Linked DNA regions of Tamandua tetradactyla. The protein of the gene in region 1 interacts with the protein of each later gene in a biochemical or structural test. Links are inferred from orthologs where the notes say so. Each region holds a gene or a part of one and is shown on either strand. Other genes may lie near its edges.

Evidence for each region. The genes of interacting proteins can lie anywhere in the genome.
Region 2: the proteins of CD244 (region 1) and SH2D1A interact in a biophysical measurement, tested with the Homo sapiens proteins (2 studies listed by IntAct). The link is inferred for Tamandua tetradactyla from reciprocal best matches to the Homo sapiens genes CD244 and SH2D1A.

What each region holds. Positions count from the first base shown.
Region 1 is NC_135330.1:14,062,979-14,070,433, reverse strand, and holds the start of CD244 (natural killer cell receptor 2B4), read left to right. Parts: upstream 1-4,435; 5' UTR 4,436-4,633; coding exon 4,634-4,688; intron 4,689-7,455. UniProt on the Homo sapiens protein: Heterophilic receptor of the signaling lymphocytic activation molecule (SLAM) family; its ligand is CD48.
Region 2 is NC_135353.1:40,834,906-40,842,524, reverse strand, and holds the start of SH2D1A (SH2 domain-containing protein 1A), read left to right. Parts: upstream 1-4,617; 5' UTR 4,618-4,802; coding exon 4,803-4,939; intron 4,940-7,619.

The DNA of each region.
Region 1 (7,455 bases):
GCTCTGAGACTCTGAGGCTTTGAAGCTCTGTACATCCTTCAAGGTGTTGCTTAAGTCCTAAGACTCAAGCTCATGCTGATGCCTCCTTTCTGTGACAGTCATTACTGCCCGTGGTCCTAGCTCCACCACTCACCATTGTGCAAACTTCTGAAGCCTCAGTTTCTTCATTTGTAAAATGTGGCCAATAATATACTCACATAGTTTTTAAAATGTGGGCTAAAGGAGAGAAGTCGTGAAAGGCACACTGCTATAAACCCCTCAGTGTGCAACACATGTAATCACCGATTATTAGATGACTTTTGCAATAACTGGGGAGTATTGTGAGCACAGCTTGGGCTCAGTAGCTGTTTTTGAAGATGCCAGGACAGAGGGAGACATGCCATGGAGTAAGGATCACAGGGCCTGGGTTCCAGTTCCAGATCTACCACTAATAAGCTAGATGACTTTAGGCAAGTTAATGTATTTTACTTATTAGCAGTATTATTTGAATCATCATTTTCTCCTTCTTCTCTCTCTCCTTCCTCTTTTTACTTTACCCTCTTCCTTCTCCTCTCTGATCCTTAGTTGCCATGTCTGCAAAATGGAATTGTTAATCTCTTCCCACTCAACCTCATGGGGTTGTTGTGACAATGAAATAACAACAATAGCTCTCTTCATTGAATATCATGTACTTCCAGGCACTTTATATAGGCTATTGTTGTTCCTCCAAACAGTCCTATGAGGTAGGCATTATTATCCAGACTTTTATAGATGAGGAAATTGAGACAGAGCAGTTGCTCAAGGTCATGCAGCTAAAGAAGTGCTAAATCTGGGATTGAATCCTGGTCTTGTAGATTCCAAGGCTTGGGCATGACTCACTGCCCCACTCTTTAAAGCAGTCAAGCACTCCACAGGTGAAGGGCTTGGTTCATTATAGTCACGTGACCAAACTGAACTAAAGTGACCAGCACAGTCTCTTCCTCCTACAGGTCCAAATGGAAGGAGAAGACAAAGCGGCTGAGTGGCTGAGTTGGGTGCTACAGCCTGCTGGGCAGTGTCCCCACTCCATGGCCCTGCTCCTGACAGATGCTGTCACTGCTTCTGAAACTGTGGCATGACCTGCAAGGGCAAGGCGTCTTCCTGGGTGACCCTAGCGCAGCCCTGATGAAGCTGAGAAGTTTTCAGGTTGATGTAGCTCTCCCGGGCTTCTGTTCCTCCCTTTTTGGGGAGGAGAGGTTTGAGGCCTCTGCTAGGATTGCAAGGATGTGGAATGTGCCATATGTTTGGCGGGTTGCCAAACTCAGCTCCTGAGCTCTTTTTGGAGAATGTCTTTTCTATTCTTTGAACTCTATCAGTCCAGCAACGGGTGAAAATGCTGGTCACTGTCCTACATCTGTGTTACAAATCTCCTTGGTTTTTCTTGGGCCTCTTCTGACCACATCCTGTGACATTAGATGTAGTTGCCCAATAACAGAACTGTTTGATTCTTGTTATTTAGTCCTGAGAGCTGCGAACCAGATGGGTCAGTGGCTTTGGGTAATAGGAAGAGGTGGCCCCCACTTTGAGGAAATCTGGGTCTAACTTCTGCATCCATAGGTGGAGTATTGTTCCCAACTCCCACTCGTGAACCTATGTCGCTCGTCTGAGCAACATCCAAGTTCATATCTATTCTGTAATCTGTGATATGATCTCACAGAGAAATATATTTAGGGTAGTTTGCACTTTGAAGTGTCTGTGTGGTGACTTGGGTGGGGCTCAAACTTGTTTCCCACCATAGATGAGAAACTGCTGCATCTATCTTAATCTCTAAATTCTGTGCCAGTGATGGGGTGGGGACAGACGAAGAAGAAAGGGGCAAGGGGTGGGAGAGGTGAGGAGCCTTTGATAGCCAATCCTCAGGCTTCCTTCCCAACACAACTTCTGAGCTTCCTTCTTTCATCTATATAGTCCTTTTGAGTTATAGATTAGGTTCAGTCATTGTCAAATTCCAAGGTTCTGGGATCTAGTTTATTTACTGAGCCATGTTGCCCATTGAAGGATAGAAGGTGTTTAAGTCTTTAAGGCGTGCACTGTGTCTTTTTAGTTGACTCTTTCTAGCTTCCTTGGGCATAAGAGCAAGCTTCTACTACCTTCATTTTTGTAGGTCCTTGCATTAACCCAGCTGTCTAGATTATTCTAACTCCTTTATCTATGTCCTCCCAGGAGTGGGCCAAGCCTTGGGAAGGAAATCTTGGACACTTCAGACTCCAGTCATTGACTAAAGGGAGCCCAAGAAACTTCAAGAGGCTTCTGTATGAGTTCCCTGTTCCAGATTTATAGAGATGTGGGAAATGTGCATGAGAAATGGGTCCACAGGAGTCTCTGAATTTATGTCTTGGATCTGTATGTAAAGTTGCTGAATTGCACTTAAAGGCTCTGTACAGAGATCCTGCAAGGGAAGATATAAACTTCATCAGGGCACAGACCATGGTAGCTTACCTTATCACTATATCTCAGGGAGAATGGAAATGACTTTTCTAGAGAATTCATTCATTCACTAAGCACTCAAACACTTATTGACCAACTATTAAGTACCTGGCACTGGACTAGGCCCTGGAAACACTAAGCTGAAGAGAGCACAGACTTTGTGTTAGAGCTTAGAGTCAGGCAGGGCAGTGTACAGAAAAAATACTAGTTCTTATGTGGCAGAGTACGTTTAGGACCACAAAGCAGATGCCACAAATGGTATGGCTTCTTCCAGTTCTGTTTCTGGAAGATGGCGGGGAGAATGGAGCCAATGTTAGGGTCCAGATCAGTGAAGTGGATTCCTAATTCATGTTGTTCATTAGTGGCTTCCAACAGCTAGATGTTTCCCTGGTCTGTCATGTGAAGAAGTTTGTGCTCCCTTGTTGCATCATGTTTTGTGTACTATTTCTCAAGGTCAAGGGCATGGCCAAGTCAACTCTGAGGGTCCCCTGGGTGACAAAAGAGAGAGATTAACCATTGGACCAGCTGGAGAAATTGTGCAAGGGCTGTGTTAGTAATAATATTAAAAAAAATCTTAGCTGTGTCCAGAATTTTTTACATGCATATTCTCCAACAGTTTTAAAAATATGTAACATATATACAACCTAAAATGTCCCTTTTTAACCATTTCCAATTCAGGGGTGGTAATTTCATTCACAATGTTGTACTATCACCACCATCCATTATCAAAACTTTCCCATCATCCAGAACAATATATCTCTACCTATTAAGCATTAATTCCCCATTCCCCACTCCTACTCCAGCCTGTATTCTGGTAACCTGTGCTCTAATTTATGATTCTATGAATTTGCATGTTTTAATTATTTTATGTAAGTGAGCGCATACAATAGTTGTCCTTTTGCGTCTGGTTTATTTCACTCAACTGATGTCTTCAAGGTTTCATCCATGTTGTTGCATGTACCAGACATAGTTTTAAATGTGACACTGAGAGCTACCTCCTGAGGAGGAGGGAACAGGTCTTATCGACCCCATAGGCTTAGAAAGTGACTTGGTCAGGATCGCACAGGTCATAAGTTGTTGAACTGGTACTTGAGTCCAAGTGTTTTAACTCTAGATCTGGTGCTCTGTCCAGAGCCCCTCTGCTGCCTCTGTGGTAGCTGAGCCTCTCTGTCCACTGCCCTCCTATCCAGCTTCAGACAGGTGACTGGAAATGGACCAGAGAATGGAAAGAGAGAAAGGCAGACCTGAAGGGAAATGAAAGTATTTGCTGCCAAGTGGGAAGTAGAACAAAGTAGGAGGCCTGAACCCCTGGCCTCAAAGCAAAAGGGCTCTGAGGGAGGTGGGATGGGTGCAGAGCCTTTACCTGCCTGTGGGGGCGGGAGGAGGAAGAGAAATAGCCTGGTCCTTGTGGAGGGGGGATGGGTACTGCAGTGAAAAATGGGTCCACGTCCTATCTATGTGAGAGAAGGCAAGAAAAGGAAGAGGGAATGACTGTGAGAAAGTAGGAAAAGAAGAAGGGAGAGTATATAGAAATATAGACGGGAAACTTGGAGCAAAAACAAATTCTTATGAAAAATCTTTGCATGTACGGTATTTACAGTTTGATATCAACTTACATGGACTCCTCAGGCCTCTTATTTCTTCTCGTGTCCCCCCCATCATTAGATCTCTTTCTATGTCTCCCCAGCTATTGCTTCTCTCCCTCAACATATTTACCTGCTTGTCCAGGGCTCTGCTTCTCAGCTCACCACCCACCCCCTCCGATCCCTCTCTCCTCCACCTCTGCAGTGTCTGCTGAAATGGGGCAGTCTGGGATAACGGCCATTTGGTCCCAATGCAGGTCTCCATATTGCCAATAGGATGGAGCAAATTATGAGCAAGGCATCAGGGCTGGGGCAGAGCAAGGGGCAAGATTTTGAAGCTGGTTTTGTGAGTCACAGTGAACTCCGAGCACCCGCCCACTTGAGGCAAACTACACAGTGCAGCTTGTGGGAACTGTGAGAGCAGGTCCAGCTAGTGGGGCTTTCTCAGTGGCCTTGTCAGCTCACAGCAGACGAGAACAGCTTTGAGTTGAGGAAACTGTGGCTGGACAGTCACGAGGCACTTCTGTTGCCTGTTGCATCCTTGCTGATTAGCCTTGCACTGCAGAGGCAGAGAGGACCCAGCCCGACCCCTCTGTCCTGTGGGGATGTTGGGGCAAGTTTTCACCCTCTTCCTTTTCTTCACTGGACATTGGGGTCAAGGTAAGTAGGCCCAACCTGGCATGTGGTGGGGGCTGGCAGGGGCTAGGGGCTGTGCCCTCAGGGAGATCAGAAAACCAGAGCCTCTGATTGCACAGTCATCCTGGCAGCTCTGGACAGTCCGATTCAGACAGGACAAGCTGGCAGCGGGTTGGGAGATCCTTGAGAGGGGCACCTGGATGGCCATCAGCCTTCCAGGCAGCCTCAGCAAGGAGATTCCATTCTACCATCTTCTGTTGACCTCCTTGTGGCCGGTGAGGACAAAAAAGATCTCACTCTCTGATTGTGTTATGATTAGCAGTGTGGAGGAGAAGTGGCCCCTGGGCTTGGGTTTCTGTGAGGAAGTTGGGTGATTCTGGAGCTCAGAGGACAGACTGATCCCTGGTACAGGAAGGCTGAGCATTAAGAGGGGAGAGTGGGAAGAATGGCCAGGATTGGCCAGAGACCAGAATGACCTGGTGTCTCATCGGCTCAGCTCCTCCAGCTGCCCAGGGGCCAGAGGAGTCTGAGGATTGTTAGGGAAATGTTGGCTTGGAAGAAGGGGAGAAGGGAACAATGTAAGGATGCTCCACAGCAAATCTGAAGCTGTAGGCTGGGCATTGAGCCATCTAATATTTACTTGGGAGGATCCCAGCTGAGGGCTGCTCCCCCACTTTTTCCCAACCTGGAGTTTAGGGTGTTCTGGGTCTTGGATCATGCATTTTAGGTTAGTGGGTTTTTGGGGGGACATTGTGGGAAGGGGCGGGGTGAGAGGAGGTACAAAAGGAGGAAGCTGAAGCATAAGTTTGGGTTTGTTCAGGGCCTGTTAGAAGCCTGATATTGATTAACAATTGCATCCTAGGCTACTCAGTTTAATTCCAGGGCCCATGAGCACACTTATGCCCTCCAGGAAGAGACAGTGTAGGCAAACATCGAGCCTGGCATTGTAAGGACTGTAGGCAAAGTGATGATAATGAGGGAGCAGGGAGGAAGCACTGGAGCCTGGGGCTCATGTGGGCAAGCTGGCAGGACCCAGGTCCAGGAGTCCAGGCTGCAGAGCTGGGTTGGGACCTGGTCTAAGTGGCCTGGAAAGCATCTCAGAGAGTCGAAGCAGGATTGGCGGGATTTGGTGCTGGTTTTGCGGGTGAGGCTGATGGAAGCGTTGAAGGGAACTCAGGTCCAGGCCTGTGTGACAGGGGGAGATGCTCCCTCCGTCCCCACAGCCAGGGCCTCGGCACCATCTCTGGACATGACTCTGCAAGGCTGGTTGCAGCCGGGGCTGGCAAGGGATTCCTCAGGGACAGGATGGATGGACTGTGCGTCTTCTGAACTTCTCCCATCTCTTGGCACACCCAGTGTCTGTGGGGCTGGCCTGATAGCAGCTATTTATTTGTTCATTTTAATTTTTAAAACCTTTTGGTTTGAAGTAATTTCGAATGGCAAGAATGATACAAAGAATTCTTGTATTTAGCACATTTGCTTTGTCTTTCTCTCCACATGTATATATGTATATGTACAAACGATTATAATAATTACTTCTGCTGAACCATTTGAGAGTAAATTGTAGACATATTGACTCTTTACTCCTAAATATTTCAGCATGTCTCTCCTACAAATAAGTACATTGTCTTATATAACTACAGTACAGTGATCAAATTTCAGAGGTTTAACATTGATACAGATATACAATCCAAATTCAAACATTACCAGTTACCCCAATAATGTGCTTTATGGCAACTGTTTTCCTGATTAAAGATCCAAACAGGATCATGTATTACATTCCGTTGGTCATGTGTCTTTTGCCATCTTTGACCTGCAGCAGTTCCTCAACTTTTCTTTGTCTTTTTTATTTTTATTTTTATTTGAAGAGTACAAGCCAAGCTGTATTGTGAAGGGTCCCTCAATCTGGGTTTGTCTGATGTTTGCTCATGATGATTTGACTTATGTGTTTATGGCAACCATACCATAAAATGATCGGTGTCTTTCACTGTACATCCCATCGGGAGATGTGTGGTAACCATGAAACTTAAAAAAAATTGTTTATTCAAGAATGCAATATGTGCAATGCAATATGCAATATGCATAAAATATATGTGTAAGATACTCACGCAACTCTTTAGCTTTGCAAAAGCCTTCCAAAGCCTTCTCGTTTCATGCAGAGGCAGAATCACATGCTTTACAGGTGCCTGTGTGATCTGGCCTCCAGTGACCCCCCCTGCACCCCCAGCACCTCTTCTTTCGCCCTTGCCTCTTGCTTACTGCGTTTCAGCCACCCTGGCCTGCTGCTCCCCCAGCAGTCTCCTCCTTCCCACTTTACATTCCCAGCTTCCTCTACCCTGAAGTGGGTGGTGGTGGTGGTGCCCTTAGTAGTCACGTGACTTGTTCCCTTTCTCCCTCAGGGTTTTTTTGCTCAGATACCACCTTCTCAGCGGTGCCTTCCCCAGAAAAATGTCAATGCCCAAACTGATTTTTTTGCATGGGCAAGCACCGGGAATCGAAGGCGAGTCTCCGGCGTGGCAGGCAAGAACTCTGCCTGCTGAGCCACCATGGCCCACACAGTGTCCAAACTCTTTATATCCTTCTCTGCTGAATTTTTCTCCATGGTGTTTATGTCCACCTTACACACTTCATAGTCTGTGCATTTATTTTATTTTCTGTCTTCTAGTCCCCTCTTTACCTCACCAAAATATAAGATCCTAAGGGCAAACCGTTTTCTGTTTTGTTCACGGCTGTACCCTCAGAATCTAAGACAGTGCCAGGCACAAGTAGATGCTCCATGAATATTTATTGA
Region 2 (7,619 bases), on another chromosome or scaffold:
TTTCAACAGTCAGAAAGAAGAATTCTCTCTCTACTTCAGCCAGCCAGCTTCTCCTGGGAAATTCATCAAAACTTACATTAGAGTTTCCAAATTGCAGCTTGCCCTTTGGAACTTGGGCTTGCCAATCCCCATGACCACCTGAGCCAATTCCTATAGTAAATCTAATAATAGTTTCATAGATATATCCTTTCGATTGTGTTTCTTTGGAGACTCTTGACTTATAAACTGCATAACCAAATTAGTCTAGGATAGAGAATGCCCAAATCTTTTAAAAACAAACCAATCAGTGTTCTGTGACTTAGCAAGGATAAGCTGATGATTCAGATTCCAGATGGTAAGCCTGAGAGAACAGACTTTCACTCTGTAATATCCTTCCAAAAGAGGTAAAAAGACCCAAGCAAAAGCCGTATAGCTGATCTCATAAGGCATGTAGACATAGGTCTCCTGTAAGTCAGGGCAGGGGAAGAGTTGATACTTGAATGTAAGAATATTGCAGAAGCCAGAATTATCCTTCTTAGATAGGAGACTGAAGTCTGAGCCATCCAGGGCAGTGATAGCAGAATTAGTGGTGGAAGGCAGAAGACGATGGTGGTGAAATGCACAGGATCTGTAGCCAGCTGGCCTGTATTCAAATCCTGGGTCTGACACAGACAAGTAGTTCAACCTTGAGTAGGTTACTTAGCCTCTCTGAGTTTTGGCTTCTTTGTTGGTAACATGGGATAATAATGGTATCTGCTTCATAGGACTGTAGATATAAATACAGGAGATAATATATACAAAGTGTTTAGCAGGATGCCTGGAATGTTGTAAGCAATTAACAAATATTAACTATTGCTTTTACTCCAAGAATAAAACCTCAAAATTAGGCAGAATTTCAGCTAGAATTAGGGAGCCCACTTTGAGTTCATGAAGGAGGTAAAATTAGGACAAGTAAAAGGAATTGTATATAGTAGACAGAAATATATAAAACTTGCTGCTTCTAATAGGATGCGCAGGTTTAGAATATAGGTCATTAGTTGTCCCACTACTATGCGGCAGAGCACCATCCTTTCCTCTATCACAGCCCTTAAAGGAATTGTAATTGTCTGTTTGCTGGTCTGTTTTCCTCAGTAGACTGAGTTCCTTGAGAGCAGACACTGTGTTTTCTTTTCTTCTCTCTACTAGGTATATATTTTTAGTTGATGCTCAAAAATGTTGGTTGAAAGAATAAACACATTTAAAGCAGGCTTAAATAAACATAGACCAACAACTCTATCTCTGGTTTCTCACTTACAAAATAGCATTAAAAAATGGCCTCATAGGTAAAGCCAGACATTATTGAAAGGAAGTGATCTTTTTTTTAAAGACATTTTAAAATTTTCTCTCATTTTTGTGAAGGAAGTGACTTTTAGTAAATTCTGAAAGAATGTATAAACTCACCACAGGTGACAATATCATAACACTGTCACAGTAGAATTCACACCTAGAAATGAGTTAGTTGAAGAACAAAGTTAGGTTTGAAAGGTTAGAGAAAAAGATTTTGAAATGTCAGAACCACTCTATAAAATTGACCACCCTTGGCATCATCCCTTTAATCTACCTGGGCTTGAGAATAGCCTAGGGCATTTGAAATGAAGACAATTAGCACCTCAGACCAGGCATCCATGTGCAAAATTCTGTCACTTCTCAGAGATCTCAGGAGATGACAAGTTTGGATAAGAAGACTTTTATTCTTGGTTGACAATTCTGAATTCAATGCTTTTATATTATATTTGATTTATGCAATATCTGTATTCTAAAAGGTTGTAGTTTGCTTTAAATTGTGCAGGTCTCTTTCTCCACACCATGACTAATTTCTTCGGTTATTTTAAAACAAGAACAAAAATCTATACCCTATTGTGTAAGACAAGGAAATAGCTCTTGCTTCTTGCACACAAATATTAACTCAGTGCATTTCCCCTTTGTTTCTCTCTAATGCATGCTAAACTTTCATTTAAAGCATAAAATGTTAAAGCTGAAAGTGACCTTAAGGGCCATCTGGTTCAACTGCATTTTACAGGTGGGGAAAAATGAGGCTTGGAGAGAGGAAGTGATTTAGTGACAAAACATGGTGTATAGTTGGACTATCATAGTTACTGAATTAATGGTTTTTCCAATTCATTTTTCTCCTTCATGGGTGGGCCCTGAAGCATGTAGAACCAAATTTTAATGTGTGTGTGCAAAAGTGAATTTCAGTATTTTTTCTGTATTTTCTTGAGAATGTTAATCATTTTTTCATTCATTCAATAAATATTATCTATAATGTACCGGCCACTGGGGATGTAGTGATGAACAAAGAACAAAATGTCCTGCAATCATGGACTGCATTCTGCTCCTATAGTGGTTTATATTCTTTTTTTTGGGGGGGGGCGCTCATTCTTCCTAATTCTTTCTCTTTTGTTATCTCCGTTGGAGGGAGGAAGAAAGTCATTTCAGTTCTTCCTTTCTCTACAATGCAAGCTCAGTGTAGAGATCTGAATTTGCTAAAGCCAGGTTTAGTACTGGTGTAGCATTAGAGTGAAGATGTTAGTATTTTCCATCAACACTGCAGTAGTGGGGTGGCTCAGCTGTCAGTTTGCTTTTGAGATGACAATGAGGTACTGGATGTGAGCGTTGTACTATTACCTTATAATTTATCTGTTCTGTTTTTTACAACTTTAGTTGTGCTGAATGCCATCATACCTCGCTGCTTTGATAGGTGTGCTATTTTAGCAACACAAAACAAGCAAAGGAAAGAAGAATGCATGGTATACTTCTGCTGTCGGATTCAGGTTGCTCTGTTCCTAAGTTTGTGGATGATTTGTTTAGAGTTGTACTGAGAATAAAAAGTTAGGTTTTGTTTTTTTACCTATGTAACACCAAATGTTCTCACAGATCACCTCACAGGTAGGCTGTTGCCCATATGGACTGATATGAAGGGGTACCTTTCCCTATCTTTTCCTTTCATGATTGAAATACCACTAATGCGATTGATTCCTCTGGGCTAATCATTTGCCCACTCAAAATACAAAGACTCCAAGGAGGACTAACTTTTTAAGTCCTTAACATTGGAATATCCATTCACTTATCAGATTAATTGCTTTCTTGATCCAAAATATAAGAAGGAGTGAGGCAGAGTTGGCAAAAAAGAAGAAAAGTGAGGTAGGAAGGTGATGAGACATATTATCCAATTCCCTGGAGTCATCCCCAAATGTAACCTTGGATGCTATATATTTATTTTTGGTGTTGAAAATGACTGCAGGAGGCTCTGTTCACACTTTAAGTACTATGATTGCTAGATTCTATATGAATTATCATTCAGACTGGGCACTCTTCAATCAAGAAGTTGAGTTGCTACCAGCTACCACCTTAAATCTTAGAAGATTGTTCTTAATTGTAATGGGTAGAGAGCAAATATTTGGCTTTAGCATAAAGCAGGTCTGTGCATTTGATTCATTAGTAGGACAAGTGAGGATTTGAAAACTGTTCTCCCTATTGAACTCTGAGCCTTGTCATGTTTTCAAAGAATTGGCACTGAAGTTGTGGAAGGGATACAGCAGACAACAAAACTTCAGTTATTTAAATTTCAGTTTAAAAAATACTTTACATAATCTAAAGGTAAATGTATAAGTCTGTTCAGTTTTAGGCATTAGCAAAGTCTTATTCTGTTAAAAATGGAGAAAGCTTTTGGGAAATATTATTTAACAGCATATTTTGAAATAGAAGCGATGTTTATTTCAGATAAGGAAAAGAAAGTTGAAATATTTTTAAAAATTAATGATAGTTTAGCATCATTTTAAGAAAAAAATATTCTCTAGAAAAAAAAACAGAGAATAAGAGTTACCGCAAAATCCTCAACACTTCGAAATGATTTAAAACAGGCTTTATGCCCCAAATGCTGAAAAGTGGTTCTTATACACCAGAGAGTACATGTATGTCCACATAAAGGCAATGCAACAATTAGATAATTCATTCTCTCATCTACAGCCCATCAAGTGGATAAATCTGGGACATAGGCTGTGATTTTTGTACTCCAACTGCATTTTTGGATTTTAGACAAGATAGGAAAAATCGGTATTTGCTCAGGTTCAAGGTTGTTCAAGATAGCTACACAAGGGAGGAGTTGGAGGAAAAGCATAGGAGAGGGTCAGTAGCAGTAGGAGGGTGAAGAGGGGAAAATGCTTCCTTAAAGTCCAATGCTCACCCACCATGTCTGATTCCTAGGAGCCTCACGGCCACATTCAGTATGCACTGATAATACTGATAGCTTGCGTGTATAATACTGATAGCTTGGTGTCACTGTTTTTGGTCCTTTCGTTCAATCTCTGTCAGTATGTTTCCACTCCACATGAGGGCCTGTACAACTTGCCTCTATCATCCATCCCTTTGGGGGAGCTAGTTAAAGTTGCATCATCCCTGCCGGCCCCTGGGAAAACTGCATGAGCAACATTGCCAAGCATCACTGTGTGTGTGCAAGGATCTGTGTTAGCAGTGCAGCTGAAATCTTCTTGAAAGGGCCATCATCTTCCAACATTCTTCCCTTCTCCATATGAACCTTTTAGTTGGAGGACGGGGAGAGGGAGCGAGCTCCGAGGCGATAACCAAGCTGCTAAATTGCTGAGTTGGTTTTAGTTGAAGTGTGAGAAGGTTTTCACGCACACTGACAACATCCTGTTGTTCGGGTGCATTTCTCTGTTTCTTGCACATCTGGCTGAACTGGGAGACAGGTGGCTGACTCGGCCTGACTATAGCTGCAGTGGCATCTCTTTTATCAGACGTTTTGACCCACACGAATCCACCAGGTCATGGATGCAGTGACCGTGTATCACGGCAAAATTAGCCGGGAAACCGGGGAGAAGCTCCTGCTTGCTACAGGTCTGGACGGCAGCTATCTGCTAAGGGACAGTGAGAGCGTCCCGGGAGTCTACTGCCTGTGTGTGCTGTGAGTATGCAGCCGTGGGGACCTACGGAGGGCAAAGGTGGTGGGTGGGCTGTGGTGGTCGGGCTCAGGCAAGAACACAGGTTGTGGGAGTTTGTGGCCTGAAGGCCTCCTCAGGTCCAGCCCTGGTCCATGGCACACCATACTTCAGCCTAGACAACTCAGGATTTCATTCGCCTGCTCCAGAAAGGCCTCACCAGGGATTTGGGGGGATGGCTACAGAAAATGCCCTTTTGGGTGGGAAAATGTGACCGGGAATTTACCTTCACTTTAAGAAAGACCATGTATCTCATAGAGATGAGCAAGGTGGAGCCCTGGGATGGTGCCTGGGTTAGATTTGGGGTCACAGCTCCTGAGAGAAGGAAAGGTCTTTCTGAGGCTACTTTTAAAGGGATTTGGAGGCCTTATCTCAGACAGACCATCAGATTCAAGGAGAGGAGGAAGATAAGAAACTGAATCCATTACGTGAAGACTGCAACTCATCAGGTCGGGATAGCAGATGTTTGTGAGTCAAACTGCTCTCTGGATCTGCTTAATTTGCTTCCTTTTAGAAGATTTGTGTGTAGGGCAGGGGATTTCAGAAATAGGACCCTTAAAAAAAAGCTAGGTGTGACCACAGTTGTAAAGAGCAGAGAAGGAAAACACTCTTGTTATGATTCAGCCTTGCCTTTTACCTAGGCATGTTTCAGTCTGAATTCCCATTTTGAATCAGATGTATCTTCATCTTTGCTCCAGGGCTCCAGAGACAGATATATCTGAGACCTAATCTTGTGCTAGGCAGATGCTAGGTTTGTGACCTCAGGCAAGTTAATCTCTCAGTTCTCTCAACCATAAAATGGGTGTAATACTACTAAGTACCTCAGCATGGATTAAATGCCATACTGCATGCAAAAATACTTGGCACTGGGATCTGACCCACAGTAAATATTCAATGTGAGGCATCCTTTGTTCAGTCTGATTTCTTTTAGTACATACGCATGGGTGTATTTCTAGGCAAGGGCCTAGCACTTTTTGGCAGCAAAATAAAAACAATGATGAAAATACCAGTCAGTCCCTCAAGCAGTCTCCTGACAGAAACAAAATGAGGGAAAATGCTTTGTAGTAAATTCAGTATCTAATGACACACTGCAAGATTTTGAGGTATGTTCTGGGTTAGTGAAGAAATGTTACATCAAAGTTGGTGTTAGGGACTTTTAATTGCATATATTTTTAAGAAATGGGAAATCTATGTTTGTGGCGGCTCTCAATTAACCAGAATATACCTATTCTCTGGCCATACTAAGTGGATTTATTATAAAAGATTCAAGGAAAATATGTGGAAGCTATTGAATCTCTTGGGCATGAATTTTTATGTTTTGCTTATAATATTGTCTTTCCTGGTTAGGAGTTAAGGAAGGTCGTTGAAAGCCAACTGATGTTTTCAGACTCTTATTAAAAGAAGGTGGAAGAGTGAGTGGGCAAGTGAAAGGGGCTGCTTTAAAAGTTAACAAAAGATGTGACGGGTTCCTTAATCTAGAGGTACAAAAAGAGGGTACAAAAGAAGCCTTAGCAGGAGAGGGAGAGCAGGGGATGGTATGTGGCAAGACTCACCTAAGGCTTCAGCCACACTTCCTTGCTGTTTCTCAAGTATGTCAGGCACGCTCTTTCATTAGGGTCTTTGCACTTGTTCCTTTTGTCAAAAATATATTCAATTCACATATTTCTTCAGCTCTGTCTTTCTTCAGAGGGAACTTTCTTGATCACTCTATCTAAAATAAGTGTTCTCTCCTGGTTTGTCGCTATCCCTTTATGTCTCTTCAAGGAGCTTAAAACTACCTGACATTCGCTTGTTTACTTATTTATCGTTGGGCTTTCCTGCTAAAACATAATCTCCATGGCAGCAGGGACAGTGTGTTTACCGCTGTGTCTCCAGCACTAGGAACACTGTCTGAAACCTCTTGGGCCTGTGGAGACAAATTCTGTTCTTTACCGCAAAGGCAAAGATGCAGGCCCTGGGGAAGTCACTTAATTTTCTGGGCCTTTGTTTCCATATTTGTAAAACAGGAATTGTGATGCATGCCCTACTTTCAGTATAAAATTGGTATAAAGTAAAATATGCAAGAGAAAAGGACAACTTTAGCCTTTTGCCGAGACCATGTCAGGAATTAATTTAGGCAGATAAGAAATTCTCAAACATTTAGTTTTCACTCAAAGTGAATCTTGTATAAATACAGTTTTTATAACTCTTAGTTCTCCATGAAAACCTCCTTATGAAGTAGTACAAAATAGAGTTAGGCAAATTGGGGGTCCTTGGGCTGTTAGAGTGATAGCTAGACTGTGCTGCAGAGGGAAGATACATTGCCTTTTTTTTTTTTTTGATAACATTGTCTTTTATCAGTTTATTAACCTTTTTGAGTCCAGGGTGCCTTCTGATAAACAAAAATATTTCATGCTCCCTTTTGCCACTATACTGTAATAACAACAAAATCAGATTTTATTTTGAAATGCACCATGTACTTATTTTAAAACAAAATATTTAGGTTTATCATATAAACTAAAGAGTGGAAATAAAGTAGATGTAAAATAGAAATACTTATGTAAATGGTGCTATATACATATGCCATAAACACATGATCAGCAAGATAGAGCTAAACAAACATGCATTCATTGCAGGTTCACTTGAAATGGTTTATCAGTCTACTTT